Linked DNA regions of Kluyveromyces lactis. The protein of the gene in region 1 interacts with the protein of each later gene in a pairwise test. Links are inferred from orthologs where the notes say so. Each region holds a gene or a part of one and is shown in the gene's direction. Other genes may lie near its edges.

Region 1 (5,614 bases):
ATAAATACATTATTAACGATATCGATAGGGCTAACACAGTCACATCACCAAATGTACCATAATATTCTTTCAACTTTTCAGATAATTTCATGTTCCTTTTGAAGTCGCCGATCATGTCATTTAACTTGATCAGATTCTCTAACTTACGAAGTTGCAGCTTTTTAGCTTCCAATTCGTTCTGGAAATCAACAGTTTTCCCTTCTAGTGCCTGTAATCGAGAAACATGCGAGTCCATTAGTGTGGTAAGTTTACTGACGAAAGATTCTGAATCAGACCCGTTGAACGCGGCTGCCAATTTTTCCAAATATATATCTTTGGTATCATGTTTAATTTTTTCAATGTCCATGTGGAGTTGTGTAACTGATTTAGAAAGGTTGGATACATGGTTGATGTTCTGAGTAAAATCCATCTCTTGCGGTAAGATAACTTTCATAAGGAAATGTTTTAGACGAAATTCCAATGCCGTCAAATCTCTGTGTATATGTTTGATGTAATCCATTGCAAAATACTCTGGTATATCTTTACAATCTACGTCTATCTTCATGTCCTTTGGATCAGTTTCCTTAGAGTTAAATATGGGGAAAAGTTTGTCAGTAAACCCTGATGACAAATAATCAAGCGCTCCAGAAGTATCACCGCAGCTGTTGGCAGATGGGGAATAAAATAAGGTCGGTATTATCTCTCTGTTGCATTTTGCCTTTGAAGCGGTCTCAAGAAACTGTCTTGCCAAAGAGTTGCCCTTAGAAGGTTGTGATTCAAAAGACGATGCTGTTGTGAGGTCGGGCTTCAACTGAGAGAAATTTAACAGTTTCGTGTGCGTTTTCTTAAATGATTGAGTGGAGGAAATTGATATGTTAGAGTATGATTGATTTTTTAGAAGACCCAGACTACTGTTACCGCTCCCCGGTTTACTACTAGCCATATGTCCAGATCTATTGCTAGAATGCTCATCCTGACATTTGAACGAGCCATCTAATAACGCATCACTAAACCTTAAAGAACCACACGTAATATCGTCATGGTAAATGTTTTTATTACTGGCATGATGAGACGGATTGAATTCGGTCAAATCCCCCATCTGAGTCTTAGAATTGATCGAAGCACCAGATTTACGACGTTTCCCATCCCAAGGGACTCGTAGATCTGCGGCATCATTCTTATGAAATACGGACCCGCGGAACAAAGGGTTAACCTGGGATCCAATATGGTTGGTATGTTCACGATGGCTAACCTCCATTAGACTTCGAATTTTTGAGTTTGAGTTTGAGTTTAAAGTTCCTATTCACAAAGTAATCTCCTCAGCAAAAATATTTCAACTCTAAAACCTCATTCCATGAAATATTTTCGTCTTTACTCGCCACGAAATGAAACCAGGCTGCTATCTAATTCTTATTTGATAGCTGCGCCTTATCTCCACCTACCGACTTCCTCTATTCATGTTGGAATAGAAATTGTCTGATGAAGAGACGAACCAGGAACGCTATTACCCGGATAGTGCATGTGATTTACACGTGACTAAAAATCACCCTTTTAAAAGGCTAATTTGAGGCCCCATAAGCAAATATTCGCCCCACCAAGGCGAAAATATCCCTACAAGTTTACCTCACTGCATGCTTATCCGTTGCTGGCGCGCTGACGCGAAAGGTTGAATCCCTGCTATTTGTTTAGTCCACTTAAAAAGCTCTTGGGACAACAGAAGGGAAAAAAAAAAAACAAAAAAAAAGTGGGATCTTTTGAACAACAAATATATATCTTATTTGATTTATATGTGTTTTATTTAGATTCACGAGTTTCAGGAGAAGAGTAGAGCGGAAAATACAGGGAGCGAGGCATCTGACACCGTGTATCCTTGTGACTAGCAGTACGAAGCAATAGGAGACTGTTTTGATTTTAATTGCCGTGTGTCATTGCAGATTCAATTGAGTGCTCGTTGGCTTTTTCTGATTCAATTATTGGTTATTTGATTTGATCTTAGATTTCAGGTTTTAAGCGTTAATCAGCATAGGATGCCGTACGAAGTCGGGACTCGCTGCTGGTATCCCAGCAAAGATCAAGGATGGATCGGTGCTGAAGTTACTAAACATACCTTGCAGGGAGATTCCTATAATTTGGAATTGACTTTGGAGGATGGACAGAAAGTAGAGCTTTTAGTGTCTTCTTTAGATGAAACCAAAGAGCCTAGTTTACCCCTACTTAGGAACCCTCCAATCCTTGAGACTACGGAGGATTTGACGTCATTGTCATATTTGAATGAACCGGCAGTTTTACATGCTATTAAGGCCAGATATGCCCAGTTGAATATCTATACTTATTCAGGGATCGTGCTCATTGCCACAAATCCCTTTGATCGTGTGGATCAACTATATTCTCAGGAGATGATCCAGGCATATGCAGGGAAACTTAGAGGTGAATTGGAACCACATCTTTTTGCTATCGCAGAGGAAGCGTATAGGTTGATGAAGACAACAGATCAGAACCAAACAATCATCGTTTCTGGTGAATCCGGTGCAGGTAAGACTGTTTCGGCTAAATATATTATGAGATATTTCGCTAGTGTGGAAGAAAATAATGAGGAAAACGCACATCATAATTTGGAAATGTCTGAAACTGAAAAGAAGATATTGGCCACTAATCCAATCATGGAAGCATTCGGTAATGCTAAGACTATTAGGAATGACAACTCTTCCAGATTCGGTAAATATTTGGAAATTCTCTTCGATGACGATACTTCAATCATTGGTGCCAGAGTGAGAACATATTTGTTGGAACGTTCTAGGTTGGTTTTCCAACCGAAAACTGAAAGGAATTACCACATTTTCTATCAAATATTATCAGGTTTATCCGACGATGAAAAATCTCAGTTGAAACTTACAGACATACAAGACTACCATTATATGAATCAGGGCGGTGACTCTCATATCGAAGGTGTCGATGACGCCTCTGAATACGGTGATACTGTGGAAGCATTGAGTTTGGTTGGTATCTCAAAGGATACTCAATTCCAGCTGTTTAAAATCTTGGCGGCCCTTCTTCATATTGGTAACATCGAAGTTAAAAAGGTCAGAAATGATGCTTCTTTGTCATCTGATGAACCAAACCTACAAATAGCGGCAGATTTGTTAGGTATAGACGCTTTTGATTTCGCTAAATGGGTAACGAAGAAACAGATCGTTACCAGGTCTGAAAAGATCGTCTCATCCCTACCTTACCACCAAGCCATAGTTTCTCGTGATTCTGTGGCGAAATTCATATATTCAGCATTATTCGATTGGTTAGTGGACAACATAAACACCGTGCTATGTAACCCTGAAGTGGTAAGCGAGATATATACTTTTATCGGTGTCTTGGATATCTATGGTTTTGAACATTTCCAAAAGAATTCTTTCGAACAGTTCTGTATCAATTACGCTAACGAAAAGTTGCAACAAGAGTTCAACCAACATGTTTTCAAACTAGAACAAGAGGAGTACGTAAAGGAACAGATTGAATGGTCGTTTATCGAGTTCAACGATAATCAACCGTGTATTGACTTAATTGAGAACAAAGTTGGTATTTTATCATTATTAGACGAAGAATCAAGATTACCTGCTGGTACGGATGAAGGATGGACGCATAAACTATATGAAACTTTGAATAAACCTCCAACTAATGAAGTATTCTCCAAACCAAGATTCGGCCAAACTCAATTTATTGTTAGCCATTATGCATTGGACGTCACTTATGATGTAGACGGATTTATCGAAAAGAATAGAGATACAGTTTCTGATGGACATCTTGAAGTGTTAAAGGCTTCTAACAACGAAACTTTACTATCTATTTTGGAAACTGTTGACAAAAATGCGGAAAAATTGGCAGAGAAACAAGCCCAAAAGCAAGAAAGTCAAAAGAAACCCGGTCCAGCCTCAAGAAAAATCGTAAGAAAACCAACTCTAGGATCTATGTTTAAACAATCGTTGATCGATCTTATGGAAACTATCAACTCCACTAACGTTCACTACATTCGTTGTATCAAACCTAACGAAGACAAAGAAGCATGGAAGTTTGACAATCTTATGGTTTTGTCACAGCTTAGAGCATGTGGTGTCTTGGAAACAATTAGAATTTCTTGTGCAGGGTTCCCATCGAGGTGGACATACACAGAGTTTGCCCTCAGATACCATATATTAGTACCATCAGAGCTTTGGTCAAATATTTTACTATCGGATCCATCTGAAGAAGATGTAAAGAACTTATGTAAGGAGATCCTGAAACGTACAATGGATGATACTGCAAAGTATCAGGCTGGTAATACAAAAATTTTCTTCAAAGCTGGTATGCTAGCACATTTGGAAAAGCTAAGAACCGATAAGTTATTCTCATCCTCTGTCATGATCCAGAAAAAAATTAAGGGTCTTCACTATCGTAAAACATATCTACGGACTGTCGATGCAATCAAAAGGCTACAGGCAAACGTTAGTGGTAAGATCATAAGATTAAGAACTGAGAACGAATTCAAGAATAATGCAGCTCTATTGATTCAAAGTGCCTATAGAGGTATTTCTGTGAGGGATAACGTTTCCAGTATAATCATCAGCATCATTAGAATTCAATCCATGGCTAGAAAGCAAATTACCTGTAAAGAGTTATTGGAAAGGCGCAGAGGCGATGCCGCTGTTACGATTCAAAAGAGCGTAAGATCTTTCCAACCAAGAAAAAGTTTCCTACATGAGAAGAAGGGCACCGTGGTCATCCAATCTTTCATTAGAAAGCACTATGCTCAAAGAAAGTTAAAACAACTAAAATCGGAAGCCAAATCCGTTAATCACCTACAGGAAGTCAGTTATAAACTTGAAAACAAGGTCATTGAATTGACGGAATCTCTTGCTTCTAAGGTAAAGGAAAATAAGGAACTTGTTTCACGTTTGGAAAACTTGCAAAAATCTCTAAACGAATCTGAAAACATTAAAAGCTCTTTGGAGGAAGAAAAGGAAGGTCATACCAAGGCATTGGCCGACCAAAAGAGTATACACGAAGAAGAATACGGAAAGGTTAACGACCAATTGATTGCTGCAAAAGAAGAAATCATCTCTGCAAAGGCAGAAGTTGACGAACTTCTCAACAAGCAGAAGAACTTGAAAGATGAAATTGCATCCACTTTGGAAGAATTAACATCCGCGAGAGATGAGCTTCTAACATCTCAATCAGAAAACGCCGATCTAAAAAAAGAAGTTTTTTCTTTAAAGGAGGAAGTTGCACGTTTACAGTCCTCTATGCGCTCTGGTGTATATGTAGGAGGAGGCATCAACGCTACTCCGGTAAAAAACAGGCGCTTCTCGGCAAATAGTACTTTGAATGATGGCTCTTCTCCAAAACAATTGAATGTTGTTTCCATAAACAATAACTTCAATACTGAAGATGTTTCAGCGTTAATGTCTCAAATTAATGATGAGCTATACAAAATGTTCGAAGATTCGAGATCCCTCAATACTGAAATCATCGAGGGACTCTTGAAGGGTGGCAAAGTTCCTCCAACTGGTGTCTCTGTGAACTTGACAAGAAAAGAAGTTTTGTATCCATCAAGGGTTCTTATTATTATTCTAAGTGATATGTGGAGATTGGGTTTAACCTCGCAAAG
Region 2 (4,224 bases), on another chromosome or scaffold:
CAGTAATCCAATGGACCTGTCCAGAATGGATGTGCTTTTATAGAGATCTTATCCTGTTCAACGTACTCTTTGATTCTCTTAGTGATAAAATCCAAATGAGTTCTGTCCTCCACTGGGAAAAACTTTGGATCCTCAAGCTGAGCAATGATGTCATTGAAATCTTTTATCATAACATCGCTGACCATGTATGGAATATCTTTACCATGCATTACAACAGACGATGCCAAATCAAAATCTAGCATGAAGACGGCAAACAACAGATCAGTGTACAACTCGAAACCGGAGTTATCCAAAACGAAATCGACACGACCGGTACCTTTTTGTGACTTCAAATATTGGAAGGCTTTCTCAGAGTCATCAATCAGAATATTCGATTTTTGTTTCAATCTGTTAGCAGAGTTTTGAATGGCATTGATGTCGTCCAATGTGGCAGTAGCCAACAAGGACAAATCGGTCGCATTACCCCACAAAGAGATTTCAATAAATTCTTGGAATAAAGGTGGGATAGCATCTTCATTGCCGTTAAATTTTTCTATCACACCATGGTAGTAAGTTGCTAGATCAAGAACACCATTTTTCGAAGATTCAAACGTGGATGTCTTCAAACGTTGAAAGATGTCAAAGTCATCCCATTCAGATTGTTCCCTGAAAAAAATATTAACCTTTCTGTACAATAAAATCTCTAAGAACAACCAATCGCCGTTCAACCATGTCTGACCGTCATTTTCTTTCAAAATTTCGTTAAAGTCCTTGTATTGTTCAGGTAAAAGAGTAGGTTTAGCATCATTTTCAACATCTTGTTTCAATCCAGCAATCTGTTTCTTGATAATTTCACCTTGTTCTTTAGCTAATTGACTATTCGTTTCATTTATTGCCAGTTGTAAGTCATCATAAGCGTTCTGCAAGATGGTTGGCCAACGTACTTCAGCGGTGAATTGACCAAAGGTACCTTTGTCACCGGTGGAAAAGACTCTTGGAATGTCGGTGCTCATAATATATATTTCAATTTGACTTGTGGATGGGGTTCGAAGGATTTTGAATTGCAAAGCTTTTCGAAAGATACAAATTGAAAACGATCTACCTTCTCTAATTCAAGATGAACTTGATTCGTGTCCTATTTGGCAATGGACAATTGGTTCCTCTTCTTATATACACTTTCAAGAAAAACTAGTTGCTCTTTCGGTAATCCGGAAAAACGTCGTGTCACCTGTCTAGAGGGCCAAAAAAACAATGCTCGAACCAACCCGCACAGTCAAAAGGAGCAACGTTTTCCGGTAAGGTTTCTGATGTCAGTTTAAAGTCGGGTCAAATCAGTGAACAAGCCAACTCAACTACTTTTAACCCGCCTTGTCGAATGAACTCATATGCTCAGGTTTATTCAATCCTTTATTTCGTTGACCTGTCATAAACCGTACTATAAAAATACATATTACTTCTCCTGCAGTAACCCGAAGATTTAATATCCGGTATTATGTGGTTCCAATTTACAAACGATAGTGGCAGTAACAGGAATAACCGCAAATGCTATATATAAGAAGTCAAGCTCAGTTCATTGACTTCACGCATTTTCTTCGAATCAAAGGTTAAACTTTTGTCTGTGCAGTTTCTCTGGTGATTTTCGAAAAAATAAATATCCAATCGAAAGGCCGTTAGCTAACATACAAAGAACCAGGATTGGGAACGAATCTCCTTTCTTATCGGTAAACTCATGGTTCACCAAGGGTTTGAAGGGTATTGTTCGTTGGTGTATGGAACTGAGTTAATAATTGAACGAAGGCTTATATCGATTGTCCATCCAATCCTCTCTTCCTATCTTATTTGATTAATAGTGTTGGTGTTTAGGGTCCTGTGTGTTTCAAATTCGAAGTAAATTACGACACCTGGAGTTAGTTACCAGGAATACGTTGCATAAGAAGAGTCTAATATTCACTCAGTAGAAGTTGGCGTGTGTTTGTGTTTTGTGTTTTTTTTTTTTGCATTTATGAGTGTATAAGTAATGACTTCTCGTAAACGTCGCTCTCTAATAATCAGTGCGCCTTCATCACCGACAATTCCCGAAGAACCAAGGTTTTTCTCTTCAGCACCACCAACGGCTTCTGTGGGACTGGGGTTGAGCAATGGAAATCCTACCGGACAGCAATCTAGACATTCCTTTCTAAGGATCAATCCCAATGATGCTAGAAATATTTCCTTCGATTCTTTGACAGATTCATCTAATATCAAGCTATTACTTATAGGTGACGCCGGAGTGGGAAAAACGGCAATGATATTATCATATTGCAATGAACTACCTAGGATAAGTACAAAAGCTTTCAAAAAAAATATCGACAACTCTCCTGCAGGAAGTAATGGCTTCTCGAAATCTGAACTAAATAGGGTTAAGAGTATTGCCAAACGGAAGAGGTACTCTTTGAATGATTTCGAAAATTCCCCGATGGCTGATGATTCTGATTTTGAGATTAATACTACTTCGACCATTGGGATAGATATAAAGACAAATTTGGTGAATATAGACAATAGATTTTTCAGAGTTATTATGTGGGACACTGCTGGACAAGAGAGATATAGGAATGCTATGATTTCTTCATTATATAAAGGATCTAATGGAGTGATTTTAAGTTATGATATATGTGACTTCAATAGTTTCCTGAATTGCTTGAACTTCTGGTTGGTTGAATCCATTGAGAATATTCCTAATTTGAGCATGACACGGTTTTATCTAGTGGGGAACAAACTCGATTTATATAAGGAAAGGAAAGTTACGCATGAAGACGTACTTCAGTTCATTTCCAGGATTGAGAAAGATTATAATATAAAAATATCAGGTAACTTTGAAGTTAGTTGTAAATGGGAGAATGTGGTAGAAAGGACATTCAATATTATTATTAAAGATTTGGTAGAAAGCGGGTGTTATGAGGATGACAGAGAGCTTAGAGTAATTTCATCAGACCAATCAGAAGATAGTGAAAGTAGTTTGGAGGATATTCCAGGCACTCCCCGTGGCGTGCGACAGAGATTAATGAAGAATAAATCCAAAACTGTGGATTTGAATAAACCATTGAATAACCAAAACGACGATGGTTCAAACCCAGGCTCCACGAGTTCCTGCTGCACTTAGTAATGAATTTCAAGTTATAGCGTCATGATACCAAGTATTGGCAGTGGAAGATGATATGCAAGGAATATGTATAATATTGTATAATATTGTCAGTCATTGTAACTTTGTGTATAATAAATGTAATAATATCGATTTTATAAATATTAATTTGTATTTTAACTAATGATACATATTATAGTGTAATGCTAGAGTGAGCAGATGTCTATTATTAGCCTTATATCAGGTCCAATAATATCAATTGAACCCGCTGAAGTATCTATCTCTGAAATTACCAGTTCTACTCAAACCAGAATTGTTGGGTCCATTAAATTCGTGTCCTCTATTGATATACACCAATAATCTTCTAGACCATTTATTGAAATCTTGAACACAGTTATACTTCAGTTCCAAATTCGAATGAAGAGGAATTATAGTTGCAACATTCTCGTCATTGGCAGTGGGCATCCAGAAAGCCAATCTACCATTAATGGGGAGTCTTTGACTTGCGTAATCCAACAAATCGTCTAATAGGGAATCTAAAGAGTACGGTTTTTTAGTTGGAATATAGTCTCTAAGTAGATAAGCTTTTTGACCGTTAATTTCCACATCCTCTTTCCCAGCAAATCTCTCCGGATCCTTTGCTCCAAGAACTTTAATCGATTCTCTAATACCGTATGGAGGATCACAAAGGATCGTATCAATGACAAAGTCCTTTCTCAATGCATTATGCGTAAAATCCATTGTCATGACGTCCAGGAATTGGATAGACTCTTTATAATACTTGAAATTTGCCTTGATAGTTTGTTGTCCCTTCCCTCTGATCATCCTACCATCAATATCAGACCCTAAGACAAGAGCACCATAATGGCCACCAGCCACCAGGAATGAACCAGTACCAACGAATGGATCATACATTATATGTGCTGGTTTTACCTGTGCAATATTTGCACTTACCAGTGATAATTCAGCTTCAAATGATGTGGTTCCTTTGTAAGGTCTCTTTTTCAAGTCATACTTCTCTAGTGCACCCCGTGCACGATCGCTTAGTTGAATTAACCTTCCGAAATAGATCTTTTCTGGAACCTCACCCCCGATATTTTCGCTGATAGCTTTGTATTCTTCAATAA
Region 3 (5,022 bases), on another chromosome or scaffold:
CTTCCCCCAATTGTGGGAGACATACAGCTATATGACTTTTTCCTTTTATTCGGTGGGGCCTTGTTGATAGGAACCATGGCTAATTTTGGAAGAGTAGTACTCCTTAAGATATTAGGGGAAAGACTTGTGGCCAGATTAAGATCAAACGTTATCAAGAAGACTATGCATCATGATATGGAATTTTATGACAGAAACAAGGTTGGTGACTTGTTATCCAGATTAGGTGCAGATGCGTACATAGTGTCTAGATCTATGACTCAAAATATTTCAGATGGTTTCAAAGCTTTGATTTGCGGTGGTGTTGGTATTGGCATGATGTTCCATATATCGAGTACATTAGCTAGTGTACTCTTCCTATTTGCTCCACCGCTACTTGTTGGCGCAACCATTTACGGTAACAAGATTAGAGCAATCTCTAGAGAATTACAACAGGCCTCTGGTAATCTTACCAAAGTCGCAGAGGAACAACTAAGCGGGATTAAAACTGTCCAATCCTTTGTTGCAGAAGGGAAAGAAGTGCATCGCTATAACAACGCTGTAAGACAGGTATTTAATGTTGGAAAGAAGGAAGCTTTCACAAATGCGACTTTTTTCAGTAGTACAAATGTGTTGGGTGATTTCTCATTTTTGCTGGTATTGGCCTATGGATCGCATCTTGTTTTACAAGGAAACCTTACAATCGGTGATTTAACTGCGTTCATGCTCTATACTGAATACACTGGAAGTGCAGTATTTGGTCTTTCCACCTTTTACTCGGAATTGATGAAGGGTGCTGGTGCAGCTACGAGATTGTTTGAATTGCTTGATTACAAACCTACTATTAAATCAACTACCGGGAAGGCGTTTAAACCGTTAAATGGTAAAGTTGAGTTTCAGCATGTTTCTTTCAGTTACCCAACAAGAAAAACAAATCAAATCTTTAAGGATCTCAACTTTACAATAGAGCCAGGTTCTAATGTATGTATTGTAGGTCCATCAGGAAGAGGGAAATCTACAATTGCCTCGTTATTGTTGAGGTACTACAATCCAACATCCGGTAAAATCTTGGTTGATGGCCAAGATATTACAAAATTAAGTTCGAAATCCCTTAGAAGACAACTTGGTGTGGTACAACAAGAGCCAATATTAATGTCTGGTACTATAAGAGAGAATATTACATATGGTGTCTCTAGGCAACCTTCAATGGAAGAAATCAGATCTGTAGCAAAAAAGTGCTTCTGTCATGCTTTCATATCTAAATTCCCTAATGGTTACGAAACTATCATTGGGCCTCGTGGTGCTTTGCTCAGTGGAGGACAGAAACAACGTATTGCTATCGCTAGAGCGTTATTAAATAAACCTAAAATTTTGATTCTCGACGAAGCTACATCTGCCCTAGACGTTGAAAGTGAGGGCGCTATCAACTACACTTTGGGGAGGTTAATGAAGAGCAAAGAATTAACTATTATCAGCATTGCTCATAGATTGAGCACAATCAGAAGATCCGAGAATGTTATTGTACTTGGCATCGATGGTTCAGTTGTGGAAATGGGTAAGTTCAAAGATCTTTACGCCAACCATGATAGTGCTTTACACAAATTATTGACAGAACCTTCAGAACAGCAGCATTCCCAGCACCAACAATACGCTCCACCTGCCATAACTCAAGAATCTGAGCCACAAACAGAAGAAAATGGCAAAGATGATTCTGGTGAAGATCAAAATTCTGACCACGAAGAAAACTCACAAGATCAGAACGAGAAGAGACTGCAAGAAGAAGTTATACATCAAGTTTTAGAAGATATCAGTCACGATCAAAAAACTTCAACGCTCAGGCCATGAGTAATTGAAGAAATTTCCCACCTTCCTTTCTTACACTGCATAGGTATCTTACAAGTGCACCAGAGTTGGTACTATGTATTATTAACATATAAATATACACATAAACAACATACAAGGTACCAATCAAACAAATATATTAATATTCATATAATTTCAGCTCTCCATGGAAGTCATCTAAGCATTAATCTTTTGATGTTGCAAGCTTCCTGACCTCTACGTGCCTTATCTACCAAGCAACTTTTCCCGTTACTTCAAATGAAATCATCAATAATTAAGATTAGTTAAAATGTAAACAAAGGCATGGGGTTACGAAACGGAAAAACAGTAGGCGATAGAGAAGCAGAGATCCATTGTCCACACTAGGTGTGCTTCAGCAAGCTTCTATACTATGGCAGAGGAGCTGAAAGGATTTCCTCATGAGAGACTATCTATCTCATTGAGGAGTAATTCACAGCAATATCAAGATATTCTTTTGTTTTTTGATGATTATCAGTTTGATTTGGATAGCACCAACCAGCACTTGTGTAGTCTGGCAGAATTACTGTTAAAGTCTCATACACTGTTGGCAGAGCTGTTTTCTGATGATGTGAGCGTTTCTCAACTCTTACCGTATTTTGATTGGATTCAAGAGGGAAGATCTGAATTTTATCAGCTCTTCAACGGGATAAAGACCATCGAAAAGGTGTTGCTGCATCTGATGGAAATCATCGAAGAGGAATTTGGGTGTAATGAAGATGAACTATTCCAGAAGGAGTTGACTGCACTTTTTGATTTATTAGAGGAGATATCAGATACATTAGTGTCCATAAAACCAATCATCTCATCATTAAAAAACCTGTTCGACACCGCCATAGAGTTCAACGAAATATTCAAAGATCATATGAACAGTCTAGATGAAGAGATAGAAAACAATTTGTCTAAATGCATTGAACTTCAAGAGCAAAACTTTGAATCTCCTGTAAGACATAATAAACCTACTTTCACTTTGGATCAATTGATTAAAACTTTGTCTTCAACAAATTCTCCTACCAAAGGACTTCAGATCCCTGCCTTTTCTCCTTCAGAGCAAAAGATTCATGAAAAGCTTACACAGTTGGAAGATTCTTCGGCACCTATAGATTTGTCACTAAAACATGTCCTTTCAGAAAGATTAGATAACTTCGAGACCCGTGATGTTGTCAATTTGGAATATCTCATGCGATTGCTGCGAAAGAAATACCAATATATATTGGATAAGTATGAACTACTACAAGTTGAACTCAGAGACCTAAAGCAAGCAATTGTTGATGAGAAATGGGTTCTCATATTTACAACTTTGAATGACGAGCTACGGATTATGCTGAAAGATGTGGAGAAACTGCTGCTGAAGGTAGGCAACCCTGATCTTTCGGAGCAGCTGAAAACAAAACTGCATGATCAATTGAGAAGCAAATCGTACACTATTGATAAGACCTTCGGTATAATATACAATGCTCTTGAAAGCTCGATATTGAATGAATCAATTGCAACCGTTACCAACGAACATGCGGAAAAGTGGCTACAATTAAATACAAAATTTGAACACTTACTGCCGGAACACCAAAATGAAAATGATCCAAATAAAACTATCACACAGCTTTCCAATGACATCTCCGAGCTTCGGCTCAACGATGCACCATCTGAGAAGCCAGGTTCAAACAGGTCTAGTATTGGGGCGATATTATTTAAGAAAATGAATATCAAACCTGTCTTGGTAAGAGAAGGAGATGAAAATGATTCAAACAGCGATAATGTGAAATGTGACCGCCACAGATATTCCAATCCATTTTTTGATCCTTGCCAAGCTACTAAATTAAGTCCAAAAAAGGTACTTAACTTTAACAAAGTACCTGCTCTTTCTTTTGAACAACAACTGTCCATTTTGGGAACACTTGAATCCCGAGCATATGATATTAACAGATTGAAACAGTACGGTAAACTCCCGACACGCATCCCCAGACTTCCTTTCCAGAGACAGAAAATCATTCCACATCGTACTATTTTATTCAATTTCGATGCCAACTGGGTAAAAAAGGATAATCACCAACTGAAATTTCCCGTATCCTATGTATCTTAGTGCCTTCCGGACTAGCTCCAGATAGTCCATTCCATTGTAACACTATAAATACAATAATCAGGATAAACTAACTTTGTTAATAGGTAATTATCTAGCTTACATAATAAACCATACAAAAGTAGCTACTGACAAAATGCCTGACGTAATTAACAGGAATTATTTCACTCCATTAAAAATACTAAAGGGAATTCAGTTAAGGCTATTCAATACTTGAACAGTTCTCTTTGCGGTTGAACTAGCCGATGCTGGATTGACACCCGTAACTAACCTACCATCAGCAATCGAAAAATCATCCCATGGACCAATTGGGGCCATGTACTTTGCATGATACTTCTTAGCGATATCTTCCACAGTATCTAACTTCTTTTGTTTTAGTATATCGGCAACACCTAGGATTTCTTCACCAATATCGGTAAAACCAGTAATAACTTTACCTTGAATCAACGGTTTACCAGTATCTTTATCAGTCAAACCATCAAAGATTGCCGGACCATGGCAAACAGCAGCCACAACACCATTATTAGCATATATATCAGAGGCTATTTTTTGTAAATTCTTGGCAGTTGGATAATCGAATAACGTACCGTGGCCGGCAGAGGCAAAGAAGATTTTATAGGTGGATGGGTTAACATCAGCAGCAACCTTTGTTTTGGCTAAAGCTTGGTTGAACGCAGAGTTCTTGTCTTCGAATTGCTCCTTGTCTTTGCCGCTTAAGAAGTCTGCTGACAAAGAGTGCTCATCGAAACCGTACTTACCAGTCTCTGAAACAAAGTCGACGTCATAACCTTGTTCCTTGTAATAATTGAAAGGGTGTAGCGCTTCCACAACAAAGACACCGGTCTTCGTACCATCAGCGTAAAACGTATCGTTGTAACATGTTAATGCAATTAGAACCTTGGTCATTTTCAGACAGAATTATTATATGAGTTAATGACTCTTGTCAACCTACGAAGCACACTCAACGGGGAAAGATAAATGATTCATGAACATACAGAAATGCCATCACATAACTCGTCGGTGGTAGTATTCTCTACGATTGTCCCTTTATATGCAATTTAATAAGAAATTAAGGTGATTACATAAGCTATTGTCTGTTAATAATACGC
Region 4 (5,277 bases), on another chromosome or scaffold:
ACATCCTCATCTTGCAGGTGATAGCAGAAGAGCTATGACGTTGATAGATAATACCTCAAAGAAGTTCAGATCACAAATTACTACGTTCTCCAATCCAACAAGAATTATAGATGCACAGAATGAGGAATCAAATTCTGCAAACTCAAGAGATGTCAAAAGGAGGAGAATGGAACAAAGAGCAAGACATTACCTTGGGAACTCTGAACCAGACTTCCAGTCCTTCTTAATCATCAATGACCTATTTAACAAAAACGAAATTTCTGCTCAAGAGCTTCAATCCAAATATGAAGACTTGTTTAAGCAACACGCGGATGATATACAATTACTAATTTACGATTTATCGGAGTTATATCATTCAACTTCGGATAAACACAAAAGATTGCGTGCTATATACGAAGGCATTATGAAGAAGAAAGAGAATGCAGGGAAATTCAAACCTCTCGTCGCCGATTCATCATCTTCGGTTAACGTAGTTTATGGTAAATGGGGTAAAAAGAGTTCTTCTGGTGTTGGCGGGTCGAACGTGAAGTTCACGTCTCTACCAGCTGTATCCGAACCTATATTCTCCTCCAAAGCCTCGTATACTAATTTGCGGAAAAATGGCTCTTCTTCACCGTCCTCTCCAGTTATTAGGAGCGGTTTGACTTCCAATTCATCGTCATCAACTTCTTTAAACTATGCGAAGAAGAATCAATCACCGCCAGGTTCTTCAACCGTTGTAGTGAATTCACAACCGAATGTGACAGCTATCAAATCACCTAATCCAACCAGCTTCCCCAAGTTACAAGCTACTAAGAAAAAATTTGTTGCACCTCCAGTGAAACAGACTACCATACCAAACCCATCCACTTGGGGTAAGCCTCAAAACGACAACGATTCTATCAACTTGGATTCGTTAGACAATGCATTACCAGCTAGTGGTAGTAAGAAAAAGAGCAAACAAAAACAACTACTGTTCCATATTGGCATATAGATTTAACCCCGTTATATACAGCAGATTGTTTTAATAATACAAGAAAGCTCGCTGAAACATTTAGATATTCTTCTAAGCTTTATCTAACAGGTATCGTCAGCTGTCTCGGACACCTTTGCCTGCATAATGGACACTCCTGTCTTTCTAACGTCCATTCCATGATACAATCCCAGCAGAAAAGGTGACCACACGGAGTCGCGCTGGGATCCAGCATATAGTTAAGACATAAAACACACTTACGTGAATCCTCTTTGATGAAAGGTAGGACTTCTAGATCGCTAAGATCTTTTGAGGTGTGTTTTTTAGCTAATGCACTTAAACTCTTGTGGCTCTTCCCATCATCTGTTCCAATTCTGTCAGCGATGTATTCTGCAATCTGCGGTAAAAGCTTAGAAGCTAATTGCATACCAAGTATAAAACCAAGAATCTTGTAGTTTTGCGATGACTTCTTCTTGAATTCTACCTCATTCTTGTTCATTTCATGGCCAACCACATATCTCATTCCAAATATTCTCTTTGAGATATCATAATACTGTCCGCTCAAGTAGAATATAATTAAGTGCAAATTCAAAGTGGAATCCAAGATGTCCCTGAAACTCTTGCCATTGAATACTTTCAAGAAACCAGATCCCCTCTCATTGAGCTTATACTTGTAGAATACTTTCGATAATATCCACGGTACCCCACAATAACTGATAGCGAAACCAATCCTTCGCAGGAGTCTCGCAACACCTTTTCCTCGCCTATCAACATACGCCAAATCAACGTACTCTTCTCCAAGCGTTCTCCTATACCTTAGTGTTGTAATTGACAAGTATATCAACTTGCTGAGGATCATTATCTCACTAACATACCTGTTAGTGAACTGTTGTCCCTTAACTTTCCGTAGTACATCCTGGATCTTTTGTAACAGCAAGTTTTCCACAGTATCATCCTTTTGATGCGCCTGAACTATACTAGGTGCATCAGCAAATGGGAACTTCATGTCTGGTGCCATTGCTTGTCTCTCGTCAGTTTGTGTTCTTATTCGTTTTTGAAGATGTTAGATGGTTGAAATTGATCAATTGGAGAAATGAAGTTTTATTTGATTAATCATAGGGTTCGAAACCAGAGATAACTAAACCCGATCTAACATACAGTTGTTTGGGCTGGTACCGATAGTTCAATTCTGTGAATTTATTCTTTTTGTAATTCAATAAAGATATCAACGCTATGAATAAAGTTTGGGATAGAATTGTTGGCAGTGATAGTGCCGATGCTCAAAGTGTATTGAAAGAAAGATGTTCATCTCCGAAGGACGTGACGGATTTGTTGCACGTTATTCAAAACTGGACCTCAGAGATACATAACAATGGCGAGGAAACACGATGCTGGAAGTGTGTGCCGATGCTTGCCGGTTATGTGAAGGATTGGGGTCAATTGGAGTTTCTTTGCAGAAGAATACTTTTAAGAAGTAGCATACAAGAGATACGGCCATTACTTCTTGTAACGATGAAATCGTTGATGTCCAACCATTCAGATAATACGGAGCAGAAGTGTGGGAATATACTACAACAATTGTTAATTGAAGCCGAGGAAGATTCTGGCAATGTTTCTTTACGTTTGCTTGTAGATGCTATGTCTTTGGTGTTCCCTATCTGCCTTGGCGTTTGTAGAGACATGTTTCTTTCGACAGATTTCCAGGACATATTGACTAGGAATTTGAATTCTTCAGCGGATGATGAACATCTTGTAAACGGGGCTCTTCGTCTCTTGGCTGTTTCCTGTATTGACGAAGCAGTCAGAAGATTCATTGCAGAGCATTACCTTAAGACGTTACAACAATCATTTAAGGTCGAGAAGTATAAAGTACTGACTGCGTTGGTTTTGATCAAGATCTGGTCATTCACTAAGATAGAAAAGGAAACTCTTAACTCTTGCATCAACCTTTTCATCGACTCGCTTTCGAATGGCGAAAATATCGAGATTAATACTGAAGCTTTAGCTTACTTGACATTGAAGCCCTCTGTCAGAGTCTTGCTACGAGGTAACGGTGATGTATGTTTGAAAATAATCGAGCTGATCAAGTCACAGGACACTACACCGACTGATCTATACGGACTCTTGATTATATTAGCAAACGTAAGTGAGCACCCGTCACAGAATGAGGATACAGTCGATAAATTAAAAGCTTCATTGAAAACCAACCAAGAAAAGAATGACGAGCCGACATTGGAAAATGTTAAGGACATAGAAGAGTTTAACCGTGATTATATTATCGATTTAGACTTGATCGGTTCTTTAAAATCGATAAAACTATCCACCTCATCTTACAATCAAGCCATAAGAATCATATATAATGTGACAAGAGATAAAACACAGATATCAGAATGTGTGAAACAGGGTGCTGGATTGATGCTCTTGGTATTTTTAGCACAAAAAAGGAACCTTTCTAAAGATGAATGGTATCTTCTATCGATAAGAGCACTATCGAAAACACTCATCTATGTGAATCCAGAGACTGCGTTCAGCAAATATTCACCGTTGAGCGCAGCACCGTTCTTATTTGAAAATTTACCTTTACCAAATGACAACGCTTTATCGGAACTTCAATTCACACAATTAGATACTTACGAAGCATTATTAGCGTTGACAAATTTGGCTACTATAAACCAGGGAGTAGATCTCGGCAAAATCATCTTGAGTAATGCTCAGTATTGGGATAGTATAGAGAATCTCTTATTGGATTCATCGGTCAGAATTCAAAGATCGACATTAGAACTTATTTCCAATTTAATGTCCAATCCAATGGCTATCTCTGCAAAGTTCTTCTGCTTTGAAAACCCTAAGAGTGCACAGAATTTCGAAATACTGGTCAAGCTTCTCGAACTTCACGATATACAATCTCAGAGAGCCGTTGCTGCCATATTTGCCAATATTGCAAGCACCGTTCCGTTCATTTGCAAAGAACTATCTGAGAAGCGAAACCTTATCGAAACAGCAATAAGAGTCTTTAAAACACAAAACACGGATACAGACCTCAGGATAAGATTACTCGTACTCTTGTCATCTATCTTCAACGCCAATGCGCATGCTGTCGCATGTGTCAAGAATGATGAAGAATTTGTAAAAGAATTGCAAAAATATCGTAATACTCCATCTCAAAAAGATCCATTAACACCAGAATTATCGAAAGAAATACTTTCTCTAATCAATTGATATATAGAACAATCAACAAGGTATAGCAGTATGCGATTTGTACATCCTTTTATATCTCATCTCAGCCTATATTTGTCAACGGGAATGAGGCTGGATAGACTGCTCAAAATGTAAAAAAAGCCTATAGCCCGATTTAACCAAACACTTTTAAATACTTAAACCAACGATCAAAGAAAAAGCTACATAAAGGACCTGAGCTAACCATACTGTCTATAACCATCAACTTGCTTAAATACTAAACCGAAAGACAGCTTACATATTATGACAGCTGAAGAGGTCGATAAGGAATCAGATCCTGCAATAGAAGATGTTAAATCGGATTATGACGCAATTGAACTTGGGAATGAGAATGAGAATGAGAATGAGGTTGTATCATTGGATTCAATGAAGGCAGTTATATCCAGGGCTTCTAGCGAGCTTAAGCACGAAAATGATCAAGGTGAGGAGCGTGATTTGGGTAGTGTTGAGAAAGATCCGATTCTTGAGAGGTATCATGCAGCGTGCAAACAAGGTGATATGAAAACTCTACGCGAAATGGTGGAATCGAAAGTGATTGATTTATCGAATGATTATGACCCCAAGGAACGTGTATCTGGACTACATTGGGCATGTATTAACAACAGATTGTCTGCAGTTAAGTATCTAGCTGGTGCAGGTGCAGAAGTAAATTTTAAAGGCGGCGAACTTGACGCGACGCCTCTACATTGGGCATCCAAGTCCGGTTTAGTGTACATTGTGGATGAGCTCTTGAAAGCCGGTGCAGATCCTAATATTACCGATAGCCAGGGCTACAATTTACTTCATACAAGCGTTTTCTCATCCAATATCATGTTAGTGATATATGTCCTTTTTTTCGTCGTTGATGGGAAAGAGGATGTGGATCAACCAGATCCGCACCAAAGAACTGCATTGCAGTGGGCCACTTACCAGGCAGATGCGTTGACTGTGGAAAATCTACTTAAGTTTAACGCAGATGTCAAGAACGCAGATGATGCTGGTTTTACTGCTTTACATTGGGGTACTGTGAAGGGAAGTATTCCTGTTATGGATCTCTTGATTAAACATGGATCAGATTTCTTCCAGACTACCAACGATGGTAAAAACTG

The links.
Region 2: the proteins of KLLA0_A03905g (region 1) and YPT11 interact in a two-hybrid assay, tested with the Saccharomyces cerevisiae proteins (6 studies listed by BioGRID, with this or other methods). The link is inferred for Kluyveromyces lactis from reciprocal best matches to the Saccharomyces cerevisiae genes MYO2 and YPT11.
Region 3: the proteins of KLLA0_A03905g (region 1) and KAR9 interact in a two-hybrid assay, tested with the Saccharomyces cerevisiae proteins (4 studies listed by BioGRID, with this or other methods). The link is inferred for Kluyveromyces lactis from reciprocal best matches to the Saccharomyces cerevisiae genes MYO2 and KAR9.
Region 4: the proteins of KLLA0_A03905g (region 1) and SHE4 interact in binary tests that used the Saccharomyces cerevisiae proteins (3 or more experiments, as listed by UniProt). The link is inferred for Kluyveromyces lactis from reciprocal best matches to the Saccharomyces cerevisiae genes MYO2 and SHE4.

The regions. Positions count from the first base shown.
Region 1 is NC_006037.1:346,863-352,476, reverse strand, and holds the start of KLLA0_A03905g (myosin family protein), read left to right. Parts: upstream 1-2,006; coding exon 2,007-5,614. Other genes in the region: FRT2 (Frt2p), read right to left, coding at 1-1,237. UniProt on the Saccharomyces cerevisiae protein: Myosin heavy chain that is required for the cell cycle-regulated transport of various organelles and proteins for their segregation.
Region 2 is NC_006039.1:1,088,899-1,093,122, forward strand, and holds YPT11 (Rab family GTPase YPT11), read left to right. Parts: upstream 1-1,996; coding exon 1,997-3,118; downstream 3,119-4,224. Other genes in the region: KLLA0_C12859g (putative methyltransferase), read right to left, coding at 1-992; TRM11 (tRNA (guanine-N2-)-methyltransferase), read right to left, coding at 3,353-4,224.
Region 3 is NC_006040.1:66,638-71,659, reverse strand, and holds KAR9 (Kar9p), read left to right. Parts: upstream 1-2,209; coding exon 2,210-3,916; downstream 3,917-5,022. Other genes in the region: ATP-binding cassette permease MDL2, read left to right, coding at 1-1,821; KLLA0_D00704g (uncharacterized protein), read right to left, coding at 4,106-4,819. UniProt on the Saccharomyces cerevisiae protein: Involved in karyogamy. Component of a cortical adaptor complex that orients cytoplasmic microtubules. It may be involved in anchoring cytoplasmic microtubules to the cell cortex.
Region 4 is NC_006041.1:1,480,320-1,485,596, forward strand, and holds SHE4 (She4p), read left to right. Parts: upstream 1-2,185; coding exon 2,186-4,171; downstream 4,172-5,277. Other genes in the region: E3 ubiquitin-protein ligase HEL2, read left to right, coding at 1-973; PEX10 (ubiquitin-protein ligase peroxin 10), read right to left, coding at 1,053-1,970; KLLA0_E16721g (uncharacterized protein), read left to right, coding at 4,433-5,277. UniProt on the Saccharomyces cerevisiae protein: Required for mother cell-specific ho expression. Might be required for the transport of factors (such as ASH1) that promote HO repression from the mother cell into its bud.